Linked DNA regions of Rattus norvegicus. The protein of the gene in region 2 interacts with the protein of the main gene of each other region in a biochemical or structural test. Links are inferred from orthologs where the notes say so. Each region holds a gene or a part of one and is shown on either strand. Other genes may lie near its edges.

Region 1 (4,231 bases), on a different chromosome or scaffold from region 2:
CATGATATATCAGTAAGAAGCACCTTTGAGAAGTAGGCACTGGGGTTGGGGATTTAGCTCAGTGGTAGAGCACTTGCCTAGCAAGTGCAAGGCCCTGGGTTCGGTCCCCAGCTTAAAAAAAGAGAGAGAGAGAGAGAGAGAGAGAGAGAGAGAGAGAGAGGGAGGGGTAGGCATTGAACTAGCATTACCCAGCATCCCTACCTCAGTCCAGGGATGGAAGCCATACGACAGAGCTTTCCTTTCCTAACCTCCCTGGATGGTTTTCCAAGGCCTGGCTAGTCAATCTACTCCAAAACATAAGATAGCCCAAACCCTGAAAACTTCCACATGACACAGTGGAATCCACTGGACGTCTGGAAAGAGACTGAGCCTAAAGGGTGCTAGGGTTGCAGTTAAAACAGAGGGAAACAGGTAGAATCCAGGCCTAAGCTGAGGACGCACTCTATGTGCATAAGACCGAACAGCTCCAATGGACTCCAAAGAGCTATGTGCAAAGGAAGAACGTACTAGCCCCTAAACATGAGTCAGGGAGAGCACCTATTCCATGACTCAGTTCATCTTCTCTCTCTGCAAACTTCAGGATCCTTCTTCACAGAACAATAAATGTGAGAGGGAAATGCAGAGTATCTCCTTTGCTCCAGGAGATGGAGGCAGGCAGATCTCTGAGTTCAAGGCCAGCCTAGTCTATAGAGAGTTCCAGGACAGCCAAGGCTACACAGAGAAAACTTGTCATGTCTGAAGGGCACAGTCCAGTCAGTCAGCTTCATTCTGCCCCTACCCTAGTGTCATAACAAAGTAAGTCGGGCCACTGGCTCCCAATAGGGCTTTGCCATTCTTGCCCCTGAAACTTTCTCTCTCTTGCCAACCACACAGCCTATTCTCATTTCCTTCTAGTCTCTACTCCAAGGTCATGGTCCCCATTAAAGCTTCTCTGACCATCTTAGCTATAACTGGAGGCTGATACTCTGAATCCCACTTGTTAGCCTCATAATGGTCAGCACCTGCCACAACATGCTAGCCACAAACTCTGTGTGTGTGTGTGTGTGTGTGTGTGTATTTGTGTCTTCTCTGTGAGAGCAGGGCACTCTTGCTTGGGCACACAAACCACGTGATAGGCTCTATACCCTGCTTCCAGTTATATAGTTTGAGTAGGGATGGACATGGAGTTCCAGGAAGGTTAAGAAAGCAATAGGTAGCATCTTAAGGGCCCAGCAACCTTTGGGCTTTAAGTTCGTTTTTTTGTTTGTTTGTTTGTTTGTTTGTTTTGTTTTGTTTTTCAAAACAGAGGTTCTCTGTGTAGCCTGGGCAGTCCTGGAACTTATTAGGCTGGCCTTGAACTCACTTGTTTTTCAAAACAGAGGTTCTCTGTGTAGCCTGGGCTGTCCTGGAACTTAATAGGCTGGCCTTGAACTCACAGAAACCAACCCTCCTTGGCCTCCAGAGTGTTGGGATTAAAGGCACAGGTCAAACCAGGGTGCCCCACCCCTCCCACCCCACTCCAGCTTAAGCTCTCTTTGTCTCTCTGTCTCTCTCTGAGACAGGATCTCACCATGCAGCCCTTGGCTGGTCTTAAACTCACTTTGTAGACCAGGCTATCTCTGAATTCAAGAGATCCGCCTGCCTCAATCTCTGGAGTGATGGGATTTTAAAGGCAGATGCCACCACACCTGGGGTCCTCCAGGTCAATATCCAGTTCACCAGTTACCACAGTTCTTCTGGGAAGACAACCCATAGGCCATTCCTGCCTATCGGCTTTGCCTCTATCTTTTTGGGAGACTCCATAGTCAAGCATTTCAAACTTCAGGCTCAGCAAACTTTCTGGAGGCTAGGACACTTGGAAGTCCCACTCCAACCTGGCATCTAAATACCCATCTCCCTCTAGATCTCAGATCAACTACTACATCCTCAGGGAAGCAGTCCTGGATATTCCCCGCCCAGGTTCTTCCACCCACGTTTCCGCACCTCGAATCTCTTGCTCTACAGCTTAATACAAAGTTAACTATACAGTCACTTTTGTGTTTCTTTTGTACTATCTACTAGGCTGTGAGGCGGGCAGAGGGGCCCCATTTCATCATCTGCACCTCAGTGCCAAATAAAAGTTGCCAAATGAATGAACTTTGAAGTTAGTGCACCACGGGTTCGAGTCTTGTCATAACCGAAGACAGCCAAGGGCCTGCACGCCCTGCATGCTAGATCATCAACTAAGGGGACCTTCGTCTCGGTGTTCCCAACAACAGTGGTGACAATCTGCTCCAGCTGGACTTCCAGGTGATGTCCCAGGGAAACTACATAGAGCCACGTGGCAAGATCCTAGGGAAACGTAAACCTGCCGCTACCGGGAACCCGGGCGGGAATTACAAAGCTGCGCTAGTCGGATCAGTTTCCGGCCCGCCCACTGCACCCATGGGGAAACTGAGCCTGGGAGGTGGCTGTAAGTCGCACGGAGTAGAGCAGAGTTTAATGTTCCTCCTGCTCCCTGGCCGACATCTCTGACTCGCGCTGGTTGGGTTTCCCGGGAGGGGCGCGGGCTACTGGCTCCCTTGATCTTGCACTGGGCCGTCTGACGCTTACCTGGCCGCTCTGCTCCTTAACTTCCCGCGCCGCGCGGACGTAGCCTGCTTGCAACAGATGATGGTAAATAAGGGGAAGCAGCTCCCGCCGCTTCCTGGCCTCGGCCATGCCAGAGATCCGGCCAGGCTATTCACGTGCACGCCCCCTCGCCCCCGCTAGCCGCTTCCCTCGCGCCCTAGAACCTCATGTCCCTCACTTCCGGCCTCGCGTCACCGGGCCGCGCGGCGCGCTGGGAAATGTAGTCTTGCCGCTGGAATGGGCTATCCGGTCCAAGAGGGCTGAGCCATGGAGGTTAACCAGCTCTGCCATTGGCTCGAAGGCGTGTCCTGATCTGGATCCGCCCTCTGGGCGGCCATGATTTTAAAAAAAGAAAAAAAGGTCTCCTGCATCTAAATTCTGATTTACACTTTGAAAAGATTTGATGCCTGTGGCGCCTTTATTCATTTTTGAACTTCCTGATTACTGGCCCCTGCTTCCGATTACTTATTTCACAGTGTTTAGGTCCCACGAATAAGGCTTGAGTTGTCACTGGTGTATTGAATCTCTAAACAAACCCTTACCTGAGCTAGGACAGCACCTAGCTAGGCTTGGGGCATATAAAGAGAAACAAAGCAAGCAGTTGACTCAAAAATCACCCAGGTGGGAGACACAGCAGACAACCTAGCAGTTACAGTTCAGATGTCTGGTGCACTTTGTTGAGAGAAGACAGAGCTCAGGGAAGCATGGAGGAAGGGCACCTATCCCCCAAGAGACATTTAAAATTAGCCTCAAAGACAGCAGAGACGTTTAAGCACTGTGGAGAGGCCAGGCTGGAGGTGCTCTATGAGTCAGAATGTGAAAATTACTTTGGTATTTGGTAAGGGAACCCCAAACAACCCTGTACTGCTAGGCTGTACAGTTGGAAAGATGAAAGTCCAAAATATAGAAAAAAAAATCCCGATGTAGGCTACTGTGTTTATTGAGGGGTACAGTGACCAGGAGAGAATGGGAGTGGCCTGGGACTATTTGAGGCACCTGTTCCTCAAGGACTGGTTGGGAATATGCTGACAGCTTTCACTACGAATTTGGGTCAACACACATGTCCACTGAAGTTTAGGACCCACATAAGCACATATGATAATTAAATCCTTAGTGGTGACTGGACTTTAGAATTACCTAAGAGCTACTCCTGTGGGTGTGTCTGAGTAGGGAGTGCCTGCATTCTTCTTTCACTGTTTCCTGGCCTGCTGATGCGTAACCAATATTCCTGCCATCCTATCTTTCCTTCTGTCATGGCCTGTGAACTGTGAGCCATAGTTAATCTTTCTAATGTAAGTTGCTTCTTGTGATATCTGGCCACAGGGACAAGAAAAGTGACATTCACATTCTAGGGAGAAGCACACAGGACCAGGTGACAGGAGCAGGTGGCATGTGCTGTGTGAGGACACGGGAGACTAATCTACATTCAGACATCAGGCAGATTTGTATTGAATGCCTACTACTGGAGACCACACGGTCTGTACGCCCGCAGCGCTTCCCAGGCTAACGAGAGGGCCGAGTGTTAAATGAACAGCCGTGGCATACATCAAAGGATGGAATAACCTTTTCCTGTGGAACGGCATGGTGTTTGAAAAGTACACTGAAGTCACACTATCTAGATTTAAATTTTGGCTTTGTTTCT
Region 2 (4,113 bases):
TCAATTAAAAAGAAAACTGTAGCCCTTGCTTAGGTACAGACTGGTTCCCAAGAGAGAACATCATCTCATGTCCCTTTACCATGGGGCCACTACTGCCTTCAGCAGGCTAGGCTAACAACAGGGCAGCAGTCTGATACCTTGACGAGTTCCCTAACGGGTTCTTCATGCACTTGATACATTGGGAGTACTTCCTTGCACAAAATCCCAAGTAACAAAAACTTCTCAGTTCTAATTTTAACACATAGTAGATCAGGAAGCAGCCACATCAAATTTCCAGCTGTTCTGAGTCTTTCCCCTGCAATGCAAGGCTTGAAAATTAAGTATGATTTCTGCGATTCCCACATCAGGGAAGCCAAGAAACTTTTGTGCAGAAAGGAGAACTTAGTTTTTCAGTCCTTTAGCAACATCTTTATGTGAATGGTATTTCAAACCATTTTTTAAAGATCTGTTAGAAACTAAAATCTACTGTAACTATAGTTCTTTTATGTAGGCATTCAAATCGAATTTTAATTATCCATGACATTTATAATGGTATCCTCTAGAGAATAAGGTTTCAATGAGATGTTTACTTTGAAGTCTCAATTTATTTATGTTTTTTTTACTATTCAAAGAGAATATAGTTTTGTTTCATTTTTTTTAAATATCAGAAACCTGGAGACCCACTTGACCCATTCCATTAAGTGTCACACAATAAGTCTAATTTTAGAATATAGTTCTGCCATTTGAATGACTTAGGTATCACTCATCTGGATTTTTCCATATGCAAATGGAAATTAACTGTATAGAGATAAGTTTATTAAGATTATAGAAGACAAGACATATCAAGCAAGCTTCATTCAGAGTTTGATAAGGAGCAACTCTGCCATATATTCAAAGGCACACAAGACTAGCAGCAGTGGTTCTGTATGTTTTTTTTTTTTTTCTGGCTTTCTATCCTGTAATAATCAGTGACCTACCCAAGGCAAGTCTAATAGGTTTTAAGTATCAGAACTGATGTTAACTGTATCCACCCCAGCATTCTGAGAAAGAGGGACCACCCCCACACATATGTACATAAATAAAAAGAATAAAATCTTAAGGGAAAAAAAAACCCTATGTATGTGGGACCTTCAAAGGTGTCTGTGGGGGTGGGTGGGAGTGGAGAATTGTTCACATGTGACTGTAGGATGCCTGCCTTATAAGCACCCCAAGAGATAACGCAAGAGTATGGCTGACTAGATAGTCTTCCTATCATTCACAAACCACTTTTGTATGCTGAAGGGCTTTTAGAAACGAGCACCTGAAACAAAACCTATTCCAATCATCTGTTCTTAAATGAGAACTTAGTTTTCAGACCCAAAACTTTCACTTTTCAGTATTTTATGGTAAAAGTAAATAGAACAAAAGAGTGAAGGAAGCATGAACTATTTATTTCTGGGGATCCTGGAAAGACATAACTAACCTTTATTTTATTTCACTACTTTTTACAAAACTCCATGGCATTAAAATAATCTAAATTCCTAGTTTACTTGTAAAGTAACACGTTCCTATGTTTTAAACTCTAAAAAAAAAAAAAAAGTTTTATGTACTAAAAACCAAACGGAAAAAAAAAACCACATCACAGATATTTAAAATTCTAGATCGTTCTCTAATGACCCAGTGATTGAAACACTGTATATCCACGTTGACCAGTATAGCAGTCACCAGCCACATGTAGCTGTCTGTACAGGTGCCATGTTTTAGTATAGGTGAATTTAATTTTAAAGCATTTTAATTTTTTTCACGTGACCGGCAGCATCCATATTGGGAACACCTCCCAAGTCCACTAAAACTCCAACTATCTGAATTCTAGGATCCCACCTCAAAACAAGAGCTCATTAATAAAACAAGCCCTGTTATCTACTCTCAGGAAATAAACGCATTGCTTGCCTTCATTTATTTGCCCCAACTCAGTATCACAACTAAGTGGGCAATACTGGGGATGAAAGGGATTCCCGTCCGGATAGTAATAGAAGTTTCTACCGTCGTCATACCTGAAGTACGGGCTGATTGCAGCAAGAACGTTTCTATGACAGGAAAATGTTTTCCCGTGATCCACTTCCACTACAATGTCTGTCAACTGTCCTTCATCGTACATTGTTTTGAGTTGCTTAAGAATACTGCAAGCATGGAAAGGGTCCATGGTATCGTTGGCTGTGTCTGAAGATGGAATCCCATTCGGTGTTGGGGAAGACTTACTTAAATCTAGGAGAAAAATCGCACAACCACAAGAAGTTCGAAGCCAGTTTATGGGGTTCCCCCCCCCCCACCAACCCTTACACAAATGCCCGTGTGTAGGCACAGGACCGCCGACATAGGCTCTGGGAGCCGAAAGCTCAACAAGGGCGAACAAGTTCCCAGGCCGGAGCGCTCCTTGGGAGCCCGGCGAGCCCGGACCGCCGCGCTCGCAGAGGGAGCGTGTGAGGCGAGCCAGCCGAGCCGGCGGCTGTGCGCGGGGACTCGGCTCCGGGCCGAGCGCGGGGCGGGAGCCTCCCGAGGGCAGCGCGACCGAGGGCGACTGCCAGGGCACCCCTCAACCGCCTCGCGGGCGGCCGGTACCCAGACACCCGATCTCCGCGGGCGCGCCGCCCACCACCCTCCTCCCCATTCATCCTCGCCTCCTCGCCCGCCGCCTCTCCATCCTTCCCTCCCGCCTTACGGCCGCCTCTTCAGGTCGTGGCCCGCGCCCGCGCTCCTGCTCCGACACTACCAGCGGCCGTACCACGCCACCCACCTGCCGACGCGGCCATTTCTCCAAGGGGCCCCGGCTCCGGTTATTTAAAGAGGAAATGTCATTGCGTTTAGCTTGCTCCCGGGTTCCGGCTCTACTAAGGGCCGCCTAACCAATGAGTGTGGCTGACCAAGCCGGCTCCTCCCCGAGCCTCAAAATACCTGAATCTGATTGGTCAGTATTCTTGTACCGGCGTGTCGGGAAATGTAGTTTTAAGGCCCCCGTTCCCGCGTGCTCCTTGTCGGGCAGAGGACCAAGCCGAGCATTTCTATTGGCTAGCTGGGCAGAGGAGAGTCCCGAGCCCGCCAGCCTGTGCTTGTGAGATGCGCAGCACCCGCTGGGAAATGTAGTCCACTGGCTAAGATGAGCTGTCACTCTGAGACATGAAGTAGGAAAAGCTCTTATAGAGCAAAATTCCCTGGCTAAGGCCTCTCTCCTAGTCTCGACTCCGTTTTAAAAATAATTTTCTTCATACCCCTAATTCCCTATCCCGGACTAGATTCCTGTATGAAAACGCGCTCTGCACGAGGGCTATGAAACCCGGAAAAGTTGGAAATGGTCAGGAAGGCTGTTATCCAAAAATCAAAGGATCTAAGCACCCCCGACCCCGACACACACACACACACACACACACACACACACACGCACGCACGCACGCACGCACGCACGCACACACACACGCGCACACACACACACACACACCTCGAAAATATCGGTAGGCCTCTGATGAGTCACCTGTGACGCCCACTTGAAATTGCATCGCCTGAGCCGCATGCCCTGCTTTCCACAGATGAACCGGGGTCTAGTTACACGGCCACTCAGCACCTGAATCCACTTGGCTTGCATTTGTAGCATACCCAGAAAACACCTGTCACACTAAAGAGTAGCGGGTACTAGAGGGAGACTTAGATGATTGATTTCCGCTGGGCTTCTTGACTGTGAAGAGGGCCTCTGGCTTTCTTGTGAAGAGATGTAGGAGAGAGGCTGAGCCTGGGCGCTCCTCTGGACCATGCTCAAGTTCTGGCTCTTGCACAAGCTCTTCCAGCCCTTGAACTTAAGGTATAACAGCCGCCAATCCACATTCGGCATTCAGTCTACTTTATAGTTTTGTTTTTTTTTTTTTTTTGTTTTTGTTTTTTTTACAAGAAAGCAGGGTTTTTATTGTTGACTTATTGTTTTTCTTCCATTTTGTGTTTGTGTATAAGCGCGCGTGCATGTGCGTGTGCATATGCGTGTGTGCGTGCATGAGTGCGTGGATGTACTTTTTGGGGGGCAGTTCAGGTGCACATGGAGGCTGGAGATTGGTGATGGAAATCCTACAACATTGCTTCTCTACCTTATTCAGTGAAGCATGGTCTCTCAAT

What was found.
Region 1: the proteins of Kbtbd8 (region 2) and Tcof1 form a complex in vitro, tested with the Homo sapiens proteins (2 studies listed by BioGRID, with this or other methods). The link is inferred for Rattus norvegicus from reciprocal best matches to the Homo sapiens genes KBTBD8 and TCOF1.

What each region holds. Positions count from the first base shown.
Region 1 is NC_086036.1:56,567,923-56,572,153, forward strand, and holds the start of Tcof1 (treacle protein), read right to left. Parts: upstream 2,806-4,231; 5' UTR 2,680-2,805; coding exon 2,572-2,679; intron 1-2,571.
Region 2 is NC_086022.1:129,231,658-129,235,770, reverse strand, and holds the start of Kbtbd8 (kelch repeat and BTB domain-containing protein 8), read right to left. Parts: upstream 2,808-4,113; 5' UTR 2,769-2,807; coding exon 2,753-2,768; exon of another isoform or gene 2,678-2,752; intron 2,224-2,677; coding exon 2,013-2,223; intron 1-2,012. UniProt on the Homo sapiens protein: Substrate-specific adapter of a BCR (BTB-CUL3-RBX1) E3 ubiquitin ligase complex that acts as a regulator of neural crest specification.